2 linked regions of the Caenorhabditis elegans genome follow. The protein of the gene in region 1 purifies or fractionates together with the protein of each later gene. This does not show direct contact. Each region holds a gene or a part of one and is shown in the gene's direction. Other genes may lie near its edges.

What was found.
Region 2: the proteins of got-2.1 (region 1) and far-5 fractionate together in Caenorhabditis elegans (co-fractionation; one large-scale study listed by BioGRID). This does not show direct contact.

Annotation. Positions count from the first base shown.
Region 1 is NC_003279.8:4,635,063-4,643,717, reverse strand, and holds got-2.1 (Aspartate aminotransferase), read left to right. Parts: upstream 1-2,835; 5' UTR 2,836-2,845; coding exon 2,846-3,028; intron 3,029-3,866; coding exon 3,867-4,159; intron 4,160-4,581; coding exon 4,582-4,738; intron 4,739-5,277; coding exon 5,278-5,630; intron 5,631-5,747; exon of another isoform or gene 5,748-5,885; intron 5,886-5,909; coding exon 5,910-6,183; 3' UTR 6,184-6,286; downstream 6,287-8,655. Other genes in the region: Y119C1A.1 (RanBP2-type domain-containing protein), read left to right, coding at 466-694, 1,018-1,254, 1,469-1,702, 2,121-2,311; acbp-1 (Acyl-CoA-binding protein homolog 1), read left to right, coding at 7,377-7,388, 7,655-7,903; ssb-1 (Lupus La protein), read right to left, coding at 8,316-8,655.
Region 2 is NC_003283.11:12,993,344-12,999,884, forward strand, and holds far-5 (Fatty-acid and retinol-binding protein 1), read left to right. Parts: upstream 1-2,225; 5' UTR 2,226-2,279; coding exon 2,280-2,686; intron 2,687-3,299; coding exon 3,300-3,423; 3' UTR 3,424-3,493; downstream 3,494-6,541. Other genes in the region: dsl-7 (Delta-like protein), read left to right, coding at 283-650, 706-1,279; far-3 (Fatty-acid and retinol-binding protein 1), read right to left, coding at 3,537-3,678, 3,742-4,169; far-4 (DUF148 domain-containing protein), read right to left, coding at 5,168-5,366, 5,888-6,306.

The DNA of each region.
Region 1 (8,655 bases):
ATTTTCAACATTCAGATTATTTTTCAAGATTTTTCCAATTTTTTCTACTAAAGCAACAGTTATTTTCGAATAAAGCGAATATTTTTCTATATTTTATCATTAAAGTTTAATGAAACATATCGGGGGAACATGCCCAACCGTTTCATTTTGTAGCATTTCCGGCCGGCAATTTCCGCGCACCCCTGCTTCTGATACAAGATTGGCTCCAAGAAATGTCAAATCAATCAATAAAGAAAAAAGTAAAATAATGGACATTCGAACGTATCATTATCAAAAACGGGTCGACTCGCACCCTCTCGGGAGGGCAAGCCCTCCATTATCACTCATTCTCGATACATTTAATCATTGTTCTTCCCAACACACACACTTTTCACCTTTTTTCTTGGAAGTATTGATTCATTTTTGATTTTTCCACTAAATTTCTCGGAATAACTTTCGAATTAGTTCGAAAATTGTTAATTCCAGGTCGAACGGATAAGTAAACGAATTTTCCACAGTGAGAAGCCTCAATCGACCTTTGTTCCTTCTGCTCAACAGACCAATTCTGCTCAAAGTACTAGTTCAAGTAGTACTACCGATCCACAAATGCCTCATCAACCAGTGCTTCTGAATCCTCCGTATCCTCCGGTTCATCCTGGATTTGGAACCGGGTTTCCACAGTTCTCATATCCACAACATCAGCAGCAAATACCAAGTGAGAATTGATTTTTTTTCATAAAAAACCGAATCCCTTCGGAAAGCTTACAAAAATCAAATTCAAGCATTTTCGAAGATCCAGCAACCTTTTTATAAATACAAATTCACTTTCTAACAGCTATTTTGTAAATTATTTAGAGTCTATCAGAAAAAATGCAGATGACTGAATATACTGTCAACTGCTCTTTTGAATTTCCCGTTTCTCTAAATAATATAAAAAACAACAAAGGATAATCTAGATAAACTTGTCTTCTTCTTCTTTTCAACCATAAACAAACGATTATCCTCTTTTATTGTATATAAATAATATAATTTTTGCAGATCCACCATATGGTTGGGCTCTAAATGCAGCAGCTCTACCTCCGTATCCATCATCTACTGCCTCATCATCTTCAGCTTCACAAACTCCATCATTTGCTCCTCTAAGCCTTGATACTGGATCTGGAAATGAGACGGCTGGTAGTGGATTCGATCATTTAGCCGTTCATCACGATGATAATCACGATGAAAGAGACTATTTGATACCAGATCAACATGAAATTATTGAGCTCCGGAAAGGTAGAAATATAAAAATGATTCTCAGGACCTGGTCTCGACACGAATATAGTTTTTTTTCGTAGATTCTTCCATCAAGTTTTATGAGAAAAAATCGAAAAAAAAATAGTGTATAAAATGTTTCGTAATTCATTTCGTCCGTGTGTTTGGGTATTTTTTGGGAGCAAAGCCGAAAACTAAAAAAACGACAAATCTGTTCTCAATTTATTTTTTTCAGCTCAATCGGCTAAACTGGAGCAAGGAAAACAACGGGTAATCAACGAGGTGACATCACTAAATCTAATCACAAATGACGTCACTGAGCTCAAAAAATGGTTTGATGCAAAATATCCACATACACTGGTTAACGATGCCGCGACGAATGAAGAAGAATTGGAGAGAACTGTTCGAAAATTGGAAGAAAAATTAAAAAGGTTGAGAGCAAAAAGTGCAAAAGGAGTTCCACCTCCAAGTGAGTGCTAATCATGGATGAAAGCTCATTATTTTTTGGGAATTCTACGAAATGACCTATGTTCTTTTGCACCATGTTCTTTCAACATTTTTCATTGAAAAATAGTCTCAAAATATAAAAAATCACTTGATTTACCAGAAAATAAAAATCTTTTCAACTGAAATATTGGAGAAAGTGCTCAAAAACTACCTGAAAGTTGCCAATCCCGAGCACTTTCTCCAATATTTCAGTTGAAAAGATTATTATTTTCTGATAAATTAAGTGATTTTCTATATTTTCACACCAATTTTCAATGAAAAACGTGATAGGCCATTTTTAGAATTTCCAAAAAAAATTGTCGCCTGCTGCCAATCTTTTTGTAAAATCTCCGAAATACCATTGTCTAGCAATCGACCTAAATTTCCAATTCCTGTTTCAGGACCGCCACCACCTCGTTCAATCAGTCAGGAGAACAGTACGGGTCCATGGATTTGTGATCGTTGTTCCAGAGAGAATAACTCCAATTCGTATCGCTGTCATCATTGTCAGCTCCCCAGTCGTCGATTTGATCCATCGGAAATTGATTTTTGTGGTTGTGAGTATTGTTCCACAGCTAATTCCACTGCCTAAACAGCTTCGATATTGATCGAACAGTCATTTTGCTTCGGAAATTCGGATTTTTTCGCTCTAAAATGACAGGAAAAGTCTAACAATTACAATTATAACTGTTTTAAAAAAATCCAAAAATTTTTTGGAAAAATTGAAAAAAAATCATAATAAATTTAGGAAAATTCTATAAATTTTTTACCGTTATATTCTGTGTCTTCAGACTATATTCTGTCAAATTTTACAAAAAAACCCATTATTCCGCCTGTAACCTTAAAAAAATGCAAAGGTCAATATCGAATCATGTTCTAATGTAATAATAGTTTTTAACCGAAGGTTGTGTTTTTATTGTATATATATTTTTTCTTGATTTTTCTTGATTTTGTGTTCAAACTTTTCTTATTTTTCAATGAAATCCTCGATTTTTGAATTTTATTTATTTTTTCTGATTTTTTTCACGACTTCCTTGTAAGCTCCGTGGCAGCTTCATATTCTAATATCTATCATTTTGTTTCCATTTTCTATTGATTTTAAATTAAAATTGTCAGCACACAGAAAATGCTGGCATTCTTCAGAAGGTTCATGTCAACGACTACTGTAACTGCTCAACCAGTGCTCCCGTGGTTCAGAAATGTGCCGCTAGCGCCTGCTGATCCAATTCTAGGAGTTACTGAAGCATTCAAGAAGGATACGAATCCGAATAAGATTAATTTAGGAGTTGGAGCATATCGTGATGATCAGGTAAGGGGGAAATGCTCAGAATTTTTTATTCTAGAATTAAAAAAAAAAAAGTTTTGAAACGAGTGGCCGGAATTTCAGGGCTGCAATTAAATAATTAAATAAATTGTAATTTCGGACCAAAAATTAATTGAAACCGGTGATAAAACCAAAAAAGCATTAAAAAGAAAAATATTTATTAAATATGAATAGTATTCGAAAAAATTATTAAAGACCTAAAAAAACCCACATTTTTCTATTTTTCACAAAAAAAAAGTGGTTAAAGTGAAAAAAGTTAGTTTTTTGAATTTTTTGGTGTTAAAATACGATTTTCGTTAATATTCTAACAAAAAACCCAAAAAAATGGCCGCGGCAATAATGGCTAATTGTCGAAAATTTTAAAACTCGGCAATTGTCGAAAGTGTCGGTTGCGGAATTTTGGAAAATTCTGCCAAAAATCCAATTTTCATCATGAGAATTAGGGTCTGGGACCAAGAAAAAAAAATTAAAATTTGCGAAAACCCAAAAAAAAATGATGCTTGAATTAATTTTTTTTAAACCGTTAAAAAGTGAACAATTTTTGGTTTTTTAGTTCTAAAACACCAAAAAATCAATTTTTCGTCGATTAACCAAATAAACCAAATAAAATACCAAAAGTGTCACAGCCCTGATGAAAATAAGTTGGAAAAATTATATTTCTTCACCAAAAACACTTACTACAGTGAAAATTAGTTTTTTGCAAAATTTTTTGAGTTTTTTTTTTCAAAATTTTTGAACTCGATTCATGTCGATGTCCAAAAATTTTTGATTGCCGTCTCACCCTCGATTTAATATTCAAATTATTGTAATTTTCTATTTTCAGGGAAAACCATTCGTGCTCCGAGCGGTCCGCGAAGCTGAGCAGCAAATTATAGATGCTAAAATGGACAAAGAGTACTCAACAATCACTGGAGTTCCAGAATTTGCGCCATTGGCTGCGAAACTCGCTTTCGGCGACAATTCCGAAGTGATTCGCGATGGAAGAGTCTTCACAACTCAATCGATATCCGGAACTGGTGCTTTGAGAATTGGAGGACAATTTGTGGAAAAGTTTATTCCATCCAAGACTTTGTTTTATCCAACACCAACTTGGGCTAATCATTTGCCAGTTTTTAGGTAAATTTTTTAAAATTTTATTTTTATTTTTCGGAAATCATATTTTTTAAAAATTTAAATCTATTTTTTTTAATCGAAAAGTCGAAAAACGAAAATTTTTCGATTTTCGGGAAAACAAAAAATCGAAAAAAAATTGAAAATTAACAAGAATTTGCAGCTTTTAATTTTAAAAACTTGTAGCTAAATAGTTTTCGAAAAAAATGTTTTTTTTTGTTTTTAGATTTTCCAAAGAAGCTACACTCTTATCGAGGAAAAAAATCGGGTTTTTTTGAAGAGAAAATCGAAGAACCATACTTTTCGATTTTTTGATTTTCCGTAAAGCAAAAAATCAAAATTTCCATGCACTTGTTGTATTTTTTCCCCTGTTAATTTCTGTTTCTGTTGCTTGTTGTCCACTTCTCACCCTCACCTCCTCTATTCAGAAATTCTGGTCTTTCGATTCAACCATACCGTTACTACAATCAAGAAACTCTTGGATTTGATGTTGAAGGAGCTCTCGAAGATATTTCAAAGATGCCAGAAGGATCTGTTATACTTTTGCATGCTTGTGCACATAACCCAACTGGTGTTGATCCTACTGTATGTTGCTTTGTTGTGATGTTTTGTTTTGTTATTATTTCGGGCCAAAAATACGGTACCCGGTCTCGCCACGAGATTCGTTTTGTTACATGCGAAAAGATGTGCGCTTTTAAAGAGTACTGTAATCTCAAACTTTAGTCGCTTTGGAATTTTCAAATATTTTTCTTTTTTGCCATTAAAAAAAATGTATTTATTGAAAAAAGCGAACAAAAAATAGAAGCACTAAATGCTTAACAAATCTTCAGAAAAAGTATTAAAAATTCATTAAAATGCGAACGAAAGTTTAAAATTACAGTACTATCCAAAGACGCATACCTTTTCGCATTTAACAAAAAAAAATTTCGTGTCAAGACCAAGTACCGTATTTTTAGCGCGAAATTTCGAGTGCTAAAAAACTTATTTTGTGACGAGATACCGTAATCTCACCTAATATTTTATTTTGCACTGTAGATATTGTGAAGATAACTAACTTAAAACAAAAATAATAGTTTTTAAATTGAAGACTCAATAAAACTTTTCAAAACTCATTGAATTTTCAGAAGGAGCAATGGAAAAAGCTGAGCCAAGTGCTGAAAGAACGAAAAATTCTTCCATTCTTCGATATGGCTTATCAAGGATTTGCATCAGGAGACGTTGACGATGACGCATTTGCTCTTCGTCATTTCATAGAACAAGGACACAATGTTCTCGTTGCTCAATCATTTGCAAAAAATATGGGATTGTACGGAGAACGTGTTGGTGCATTTTCGATTGTTTGTGATTCTGCTGAAGAAGCGATTCGTGTTGGATCTCAAATGAGAATTATCATTCGTCCAATGATCTCAATGCCACCACTTCATGGAGCAAGAATTGCTTCACGGATTTTGAGTAATCCAGAGTTGAAGAAATCTTGGTAGGAGTTTCTGAGTTTGTGAAGTCAGAAATTTAAAGATCAGAAACTGAAAAAAATAATTTTGGACCAAAAAAAATGAGATTTGCGAAAAACCGGTTTCTAAGCGACTGATTTTCTAAAATTCCAAAGAGTGTGTGCCTTTAAAGAGTACTGTAGTTGCCGAAAATTTGCTTTTAAAAATATTTAAATAATGGGCAAATTAGCTATTTTTCAAAAAAATGGATCTTTTTTATTTTTGAAATATTGGAAAAACGAAATCTATAAAAATGATTATTTCAGGCTGGAAGATGTGAAACTAATGGCTGACCGTATCAAATCAATGCGTACGGCTCTAAAAGACGGCCTGAAAGCTGAAGGATCTACTCTCAACTGGGATCATATTACCAATCAAATTGGAATGTTTTGTTTCACTGGAATCAATGAGAAACAAGTTCAAAAGCTCATCAAAGAGCACTCAGTGTACTTGACAAATGATGGACGTATTTCTATTTCTGGTATTAATACTGGAAATGTTGCATATTTGGCTAAAGCTCTCCATGACGTCACCAAGTAATGATTTCTCTAAGTTCTCTACGTGTCTAAGTTTCTTTCCGGTTTTATTGAAATTCAGGTTTTGCTTTTTTAAAAAGTCTATAAAATGGTTTTTGGATTTTCTTTTTTCGTCAACATTTTTTCTTTCTTCTTTTGGGTTCACATTCCCATTATCTTATCTTTGATGTTTTTCTTCCTTTGTTTGTTTGTCTTTTTTTTTTTAATTTCAATCTGTTTTTTTATTTTTAGGCTTTAAATCAATTTTATTATTGGTGGGTGAAACTTGGAGTTTTTATAGTTTTGTAGTCAAATTTCTATTTCCAACAAAATTGAGAAAGTCTAAAAATTGTGGCCTTTATCCGTTTTTAATAAGATACGGAGCTCATTCAATGAGAAAATTTCAACTTCCTCCATTTTTCCATTATTTATATCAAAAATTGTTGTTTTTAGGGCTCCCGATCAAGAGTTTCACCAAAAAACTATTAAAACTAAAAAATATTTTTAAAAATCTAATTTTTCTTCCTTCCGACCAAAAATTGAAATTTTTTAAAGAGTTTTTAAGATCGAAAAACCAAAAAAAAATCCTTCTTTGCCCAAAAAAAAAAACGAACTTTTTCCTATTACTCAATTGCAGAATTTTGCGAGTTTCGACGCAACAACACGACACCTGGTCTTGGCACGATCGAAACCTTGCAGCTACAGTACCCACCAGCTTCACTTAATTGCAAAAACTATGCAGTTGTTGAACATGCGAGTACTGTAGCTGTGAAGTTTCAGTCGCTTCGAGACCCGGCACCGTATTTTTAAATTAACAATTGCTGGCGATTAGGTAATAACGCTTTTGCTAAAACCATCGGTGTCTTATCAAAAGTTAATAATTTTTTTCAAGAAAAGAACTGAAAATTGCCAAAATTTCTTTCTTTTTTCTAAACATTTTCATATTTTGTCCTTCTTCTGTGATGGTGTGATCACATAGTTTGATATTGACCACGAAACGTTGTTGTATTCTCAAAAAATTGATACGATTTTTTAGTGATAACAAATGATAAGAGTGTCCGTTTTTCTGACTGTATACTTCTAGTGCGTGGTTGTGTACGTCAAGATAAATACAATATACAAAGTGCCCTTTCATCATTATTTTTCATGTTTCATTATTTTAAAATCTCTTAATTTTCAGGTTCAAACTTTCAACAAGCTCTTCTCATCGTCTTCAAAATGACCCTCTCGGTAAGCTTCAAATTCCGATGTAGAAAATCCAAAATAATCTCAAATTCAGAATAATGACAACAACAGAAAGCAATAATTGTAAAACCGTGATTTTTCAATGTTGGCAAATTCCCTTCAAAATAGCGGAGGGAACTTAGTCAAAATTGAAAAAGAGACATTTTTATAATTTGGCGATTTTTTTCTGAATTTGAGACTACTTTAGATTTTTTGAAGCAAAATGTTGATATTTTCCCAATAAAATCTCACTAAGTCTTTTCAATTTTCAGTTCGACGACGCTGCTGCCACCGTTAAGACCCTCAAGACTTCCCCATCGAATGATGAGCTTCTCAAGCTCTATGCTCTGTTCAAACAAGGAACCGTCGGCGACAACACCACCGATAAGCCAGGAATGTTCGATTTGAAGGGAAAAGCCAAGTGGTCTGCCTGGGATGAGAAGAAGGGACTCGCAAAGGATGATGCTCAGAAGGCCTATGTTGCTCTTGTTGAGGAGCTCATCGCCAAGTACGGAGCCTAAATAAATTCTGTTTGATAATACGTTTTTTTAACATTTATATTTTTGTAATGAAGATTCTGTGATTCCGAAGAATTTAGACATAAAGTTGCCTATTTGATCAGCAAACTTGAACTTTCAGAAGAATGCATTTTCCATGTTCCCTGTTCCGAGTGATCTGCAATTTCTTTTTTTCCGGTCTGCTACTCTAAAACTTTGGTTTATCCGAATAATTTATAAATCAAAACCGCAACTCTTTTAAATTGGTAATAATACAGTAAAAGAGATGTTAAAAAGAGTGAGAAGTCAACAAAATGAGGGTATTCAAGATTAATGAATGGGGGGACAACACAACAATAATGATAACAACAAAAAATGGAGGAAAAAGTAAAAAAAAAAGAATGAGATTTTTGGGTTTGTTCAACAAAAGATGAAATTACTCGGCGGCAGCAGCAGCTGGAGCACCATCCTCAGCGAACACAGTACGCTTAGCCTTTGGCTCATCAGATCCATCTGCACCTTCATCGTTTGCTGACCGCTTATCACCTCGGCGGTCTCCGCGTCCACCTCTTCCACCACGACCTCCACGACCACCGCGGCCTCCTCGTCCGCCACGACCACCGCGTCCTCCACGTCCACCTCCTTGCCTCTGATTCTTTCTGGCATTGAACTCTGTCCAGTATTTCTCCTCCTCTTCTCCATCCAAAACTCGTGCGGAGAGCTCAGCCTCTTGAAGAATGACTTTTCCATCAGTTCCAGCTGCAACAGCGTTGTCC
Region 2 (6,541 bases), on another chromosome or scaffold:
TTCTAACATGGAATTGCTTGTATGCTAGTTTTTTGTAGCATATCATCGCCTTTTGGCATTTTTTTCAATAGTTGAGCTGATTTTTTTAAACCAAAACATTTGAAAACACTCCCAGTTCCAAATAACTGTGTATCTTATTTCATCTATATATACTATACAGTAGGTACACAAACCGCAAGGTGGTCACACCTATATGGCGATGAGCACTTTTCCTCTCGGCTCACAAAAGAGCCTGTCCCCTCGCAGAGTGCTCACTTTACGCTAGAAGCCACCGGTCAAAATATGCTGACTTTATGGTCTTTACTGTTGTATACTTTTATTCCTTTGATTCAATGTACTGGTTATTTGGAACTTCGACTGACAAGTCCTTATGTTCGAGTTCTCAATGTTTCTGTAGAGCTAGCAATTGGATCTGAAAAAAGTTTCTATAAAGTTCCACTCTCTCCATATTATGAATTGGCTATAACAAATGTTCCAATTGAATTCGATCAACCTGCAAGTATCATAATAAGAAGCGGTCCTGTGAAGGAAATTGGATTAACCGATTTTGTAGTTAGTCCAAAAATATTTTCCACTCGAAAAATGTCAATAGTGCCTCCAAAAGCTGGACTTCCATTCAGTGGATTTCGAATCGATATAAAATGTGATACGTAAGTAAATAGAAATTTATAGTGATTTTTCAAAACTTAATTATAATTTTCTTAGAAACTATTTCGGAGCCCACTGTGAACATTTCTGTGATGAGGAGCAAGCAAGATCAATGGGTCGAAGATGTAATATCCTTGGAAATATTGGTTGTCCAATTGGAGTCCGTGGATCAAAATGTGATATTGAACTTCCAATTGATAGTGGAATCTGTAAATGCATGAATGGCGGAAAATGTGTGAATTCGTTTGATTCGAAATTAACCGCAGATTTTCCAATCTGTGAGTGTCTGAATGGATTTGAAGGAGCTGCTTGTGAGAAACAAATGAAAATTTTTGAGCCGAAAATCTCAACTCGCCTTTTTGAATCAACTGCTCGATTCCATGATTTGGCAAATGTTTCCGTTAAAAATCAATTGTACGATGATAAAATGGATATTTATTCAAAACATGTCGCACCGTCTTTTCATGTTTTGCAACAAGGTGCACTAAATGGAAAAGCTCTTCGAGCACCTAAGAAGCAGAAAAACACAATTATATTTGATCCAGTAACTCTTTCATTTCATCCAACTAAACCAATATCCACACCATATTTCCCAAAGGGGCGACCTGTTAGACTAAATTCACAGTCGTAATATAGGGTTTTAAAAACTGAAAATTCTGTGAGGTTTTTTTTAATGTAATTTCTAAAATATTATACTTTTTCGTTTACTTTGAAGCATCTCCCACACGTGTATTCTTCTTCCTTCCAGTTTTTCTTTTATTTAACATGGTTTTTATTGATAATTATTTGTATAGTTTTTTCAAATCAATAGCTAATAAAGTATCAAAAATGAATGTTCGTGAGTGGATATTTCGGTCAAGTAGAACCGCATACAGTTGCTCGGGAGCTTGTCAAACACGAAAAAGGTGTTGCGACTTGGCTTTGTCCACCTTCTTCAAATGTATCTTCTTGATTTCAATGTGACAAAAACAAATATACGGGTCAGGTTATTTATGGAGACTTTTTTTGAGATTAAGATGGAAAAATCTTTTACGAAACTTTGCGAAGGCAGAATAAAGTAATAATTTTCAATGAAGACTTCCTTTCTGTTTCAATTTTCAAATAAATCCCTTCCAATATCATTTTGATAAAATTTATACGAGAACATTCAATAAGTTTCTAAAAACCAGCTAATTAATTTGACTTGACGTGCGGCTCTGTTGAAATCTATATTACAGTTTTTAGTGTATTTTTCTCTTTATTTTACCATTAAATATAAAATCATTTGGTTTGCTTTGTATTTCAAATAGCAAGAACATTGAACACTAAACCACATTTGAATGTTTCATAAATCCGGTTTTTAAGTAAATAATTTTTGTTTGGTTTTTTAAATAACCGGCAGAACGGTGCTACTTATTTCAGAAACTGAATAAAGTTTAACAAGTTGTAGCATATCAGGAAAATCTGTGATAAATACAATTTGTAAGGGAAACATATAAATTGATAAAACATAAATCCAAGTGACAAAAAAGGAAGTATTGATGACTGAGTGACCTTTTGTCTTTCGATAAACAGTCATAAAACACAACAACCGCCCTACATTCAACATCTTCAATTGTTTTAAAGTATTGATTCGTCTGGTCAGTATCAAGATGTTACTCCGTTTCTTTGCTATTTTATTAATTTTTCATTTCTCATTTGCTGCTGATGGAATATTTGAAGCTGTTATTGAGAGCTATAAAGATGCTCTTCCACCAAAAGTTGTTGCGGCTTTTGATAATTTGAGTCCAGGGGAAAGTGCTATTATGAAAGAAGTATTCATGAATTATGATAAATTTACAAGTATTGCTGATCTGATTGTTGCAATCAAGAAGAAATCGGAATCACTTGGATCGTTTTTCGAGAAACTTTACATTGAAATTGACGCTGAAATTCAGGCATTAACACCGGAAACAAAGAAATTTGTAACTGAAATGTTAGGAATTGGCAGAGCAATTTATACTGCACAAATTGTTGGAATTCCATTAGATTCTAAAGAAGTCCTACCTGTATTTGCAAAGTAAGTTAATTCGTTTTCCACCAACTTTGATGACAATGAAAAATGTAGAAACTGTTTTTTTTTGAGTTTAAAAATATTTAAATTCACAGCTTCTTTGCAAATTCTATAAAGTTTGAAAATACTATTTTGTACACTCTTAAAGTTTTTGTGAATTTAAAAATTTATTCAGAGACTTTGAAATGTTGGTAAATATCGAGTAGCAACAATGGAGAAGATTTTTCAAACTACATCTATAGTGCTAAACTTTTCAAAAATTACTATGTTTTTGCAGTTAAAAATTTGAAATGTCAGCCAAAAAAAGGTTTTTTCCTAATAGTACGAATTTTATACTTTTTTAAATTCAATTGTATGGCTTTTAACACGGGAGTGGTTTGAACATATGAAATTGCTCTAAGTTTCTTTAAAAACCTTTCGTAAATTTGGAAATGCTCTGCATCTAAAAAATTTAAGAGTTTTCTTGCCATTTTGAATCATTATATGATATTTGGAAAAAATTTTTGTTGAAGCAATTCCATCTTTAAATTTATAATGTTAATAACAAAACACACATATTTGTAGAATAGATATATTCAACAAATAAAATGTGCCCCCTCTAACATATGCAAAATTTCAGACAATTTACTTCGTTCAAATCACTATCGGATGCTACAAAGGAAGAACTTGAAAAAACATTCCTCGGTCTCTACAAATTCGCTTCAAACGACAAGATCAAGACTGAGATTGATAAATTGTTGTGATATGATAGCAATGAATAAATACTGTGGTTTATGTTTTGGGTTTCATAATAATAAAAAAATCCTCAAATTTATTACGGTCTATAGATACAATTTTGTGACATTAGTAATTTTATTTACTGGTTATTGTTCTTCTCAAGAAGCTTGGCAATGAGTGTTTGAGTCTTGTCATCCTCCAAAAACTTGGCGACTCCTCCGAAATTTTTCTTCAACTCGTCTTGAGCCTCAGCTGGCAATGCCTTGTATGCAGCAACTTGGCTGAAATACCGAGGATGATAAATATATTTTTATTAATACACAAATTTCTTCGATAAAACCTACGTTTCAATGAGAAGCTTGATCTCGGAAACTGAGATCTTCTCTCCATTAACAGAACGAGCATAAAGACCACGTCCTCCAGCAATGAGCTCGTTAACAAAATCCTTTGGTTTTGGGCTCAATGCATCAACCTTCTTTTGGAGCTTAGCTTGAAGCTTCTCAGCCTTTTCTCCCAAGCTTGAAGACTTTTCTTTGAGAGCAGCAATCAATTCTCCTTCGTTTTTGTAGCTCTTGTAGTTCTTGAATACATCCTTCAATGCAGCCTTCTCTTCTGGAGACAAATCCTGATAGGCTTGAACAACTTCGGATGGAAGGAGATCTTTGTGTTGCTTCAAAATTTGAGAGAATGGAGAAGAATCATCAGCTGGAGCAGCAGCTGAGAAACGGAGAAGAACCAAGCAGAAAACGTTGAAAGCGAAAAGACGAGACATTGTTGATGTTGCTCTTTAATTCGAATTCATGTCTATTTATACTAAAATTTTGTGATTTGTTAAATGGGCGGTTCAATTCTTCCATACTATTTTCGCCAAAGATGATGTCAATTCGTGGAGAAGGCGCCATAACTGTTGTAGCCTCCGTGTGGTCTGGACATTGTTCCTTGCAAACCTATGTTGGTCTTCAGATGATTCGTTCGATTATCAAGGACAATCAGACGGCGTTGTTGTTGTGGTGTTTAGCATAAGAGATCATCAAGACGAGGTTAGAAAATCTATTTGTTTATGTTTTTGAGTGTAACCTTGGATGCTATTCATCTTCTGTTTCATAGGAAAAACAATCTTTAGAGTTTGAAGAAACTTTTATCACAGTAACTACAACTTTAATGATGTGAAAGGTAAACAAGTGATGTTTACTTATTTTTGGTGTCTCAATGTGGATTTTTATATGAAGTTTTGGAATATGATCGTTCTGTTAACCCGATGTCATAACCCGACGCTGCAAAACATTTATATTCTCTAAAGTTACACCATTCAGTATATTTTCAGATTATAATCTAGATGAACACATTTGGAATCCGTTTTAGCTGAAAATTTGTTACAAAATTCACAGTTGAGAGAGCCGAGGTAGTTGGAAATAGGTGATCCTAGTTTTATGACCTTTTTTCAGCAGTTATGATTAATTCAACTGCAGCTTCACTTTTCCTAAATTTGTCACGATCTTCTGAAATCTATAAGATCAATTCATCTTCCGACTGTCTGGAAAATATTAATTTCTTGGAAAACAGCAATCTCTCAATTTGGACAGCAGGCTACACAATTAAAAAAATGTTGGTTGATCTTTTGACAGCCTGATAGAACGATCTTCGTTTTCCTTTAGAGGTGAACAAATTTAGATGTTGTTGTGGTTTATGGAAATGTTTTATTTAAAAATAATACAACAACATGCAGTATAAAATATGTACATACTTATCACAATAAGATTATTAATTCACTTATTTTCCCATACCCATTCCCATGCCTTGTCCCATGCCTTGTCCCATTCCGATTCCACCTCCGCCGCCAAAGAATCCGCCCATCATGCTTCGAAGACGTTGTTCACGCATTTGTCTCATGAATTGGAAGATTTGTGGAAAAGTACTTTGAAGTTCCTGTTGTGCATATGGAGGTAATGATCGATAGTGCATTGCAATTCTGAATATTTAAACTTGGGATTTGGAATTAGTGAATTGAACACAATTGTTGTAATACATACGTTGTTAAGCTGGAAAACAATAAGATGAAAACTATCACTCATATGAAAGTTTGGATTTTTCGTTGAAACACATAACTTTCAGCAGATATCAGAATCACGGACTTTGCCGACATTAAAGTCAATTGAAGAGCTTTATACAATTTGGACTAAACTTTCAGCGCATACACAAAATTTTCTACCAGTCTCCAAAGCTACGTTCCCCTGTCTGGCCTATCCAGGAAAACATGAAGGGTCAACATATTACTCTAAATAAGGAAATTATCGAGAAGATCTTAAATCTCATAAGTACAGACAACAATAACTTCGCAGTGAAATAAGTAGAAGGTAGGTAGGCTATTGCAATGCCTCGTAGAATTACCATTTGATTTTTAAGCTGATAAAAATGCCTTACTCGGTAAGAAACTGTCTTACTGTTTAGACAGAGAAACAATATTTTTCTACTGAATGTAAATAATCATACCCCATTCCAACTTGTCTCAATTGTGACTGATCCATTTGTTGTCCATTAAGCCGTTGAGCATAAATTTGTCTTCCAGTTGAAATCAAATTCTGAATAAATCCTTTCGCTTCTTCGCTACTCAATCCATCGATTTTCTGCTTCAAAGCCATCAATCTCCGTTCCATTCGGGCTCCGAGTGCTGGATTTTTCATTTTCAAAGCATTAACCATTTCTTGTTCATTTCGGTAGTTTTGATGATTACGGAATACATCTTTCAGATCAGGTTGATCTTTTTGACTCAGGTTACTGTAGGCCTCCACAAGCTCCCTTGGAAGTAAGTTCTTAAATTTTTGAAATCCTCCCGCTTGTGGTTCTCCGAATGGAAAAGCTGATGTAATAAAAAAGAGAAGAGAAAGTACAAGTAGAAGTAATTTACTCATTATGGTAACTGAAGTATTTTATTTTTTCCAATCCTCTTTTATTCGATTTCAATTTTGTGACTTTGAGTGAAACTCGCAGCGTCACTAATTTCTTTGCCGAAAAACTTTGCAAATTTGTGATTGGGATAGTTTTTATGTTTTTTTCTCGGTCTGGGCGACGTTCTTTCTTGAAAATATTTGATGCCATCAAAGATTGAGAACAAGAATTGGCGACTATACAGGAAAATTAAATAAT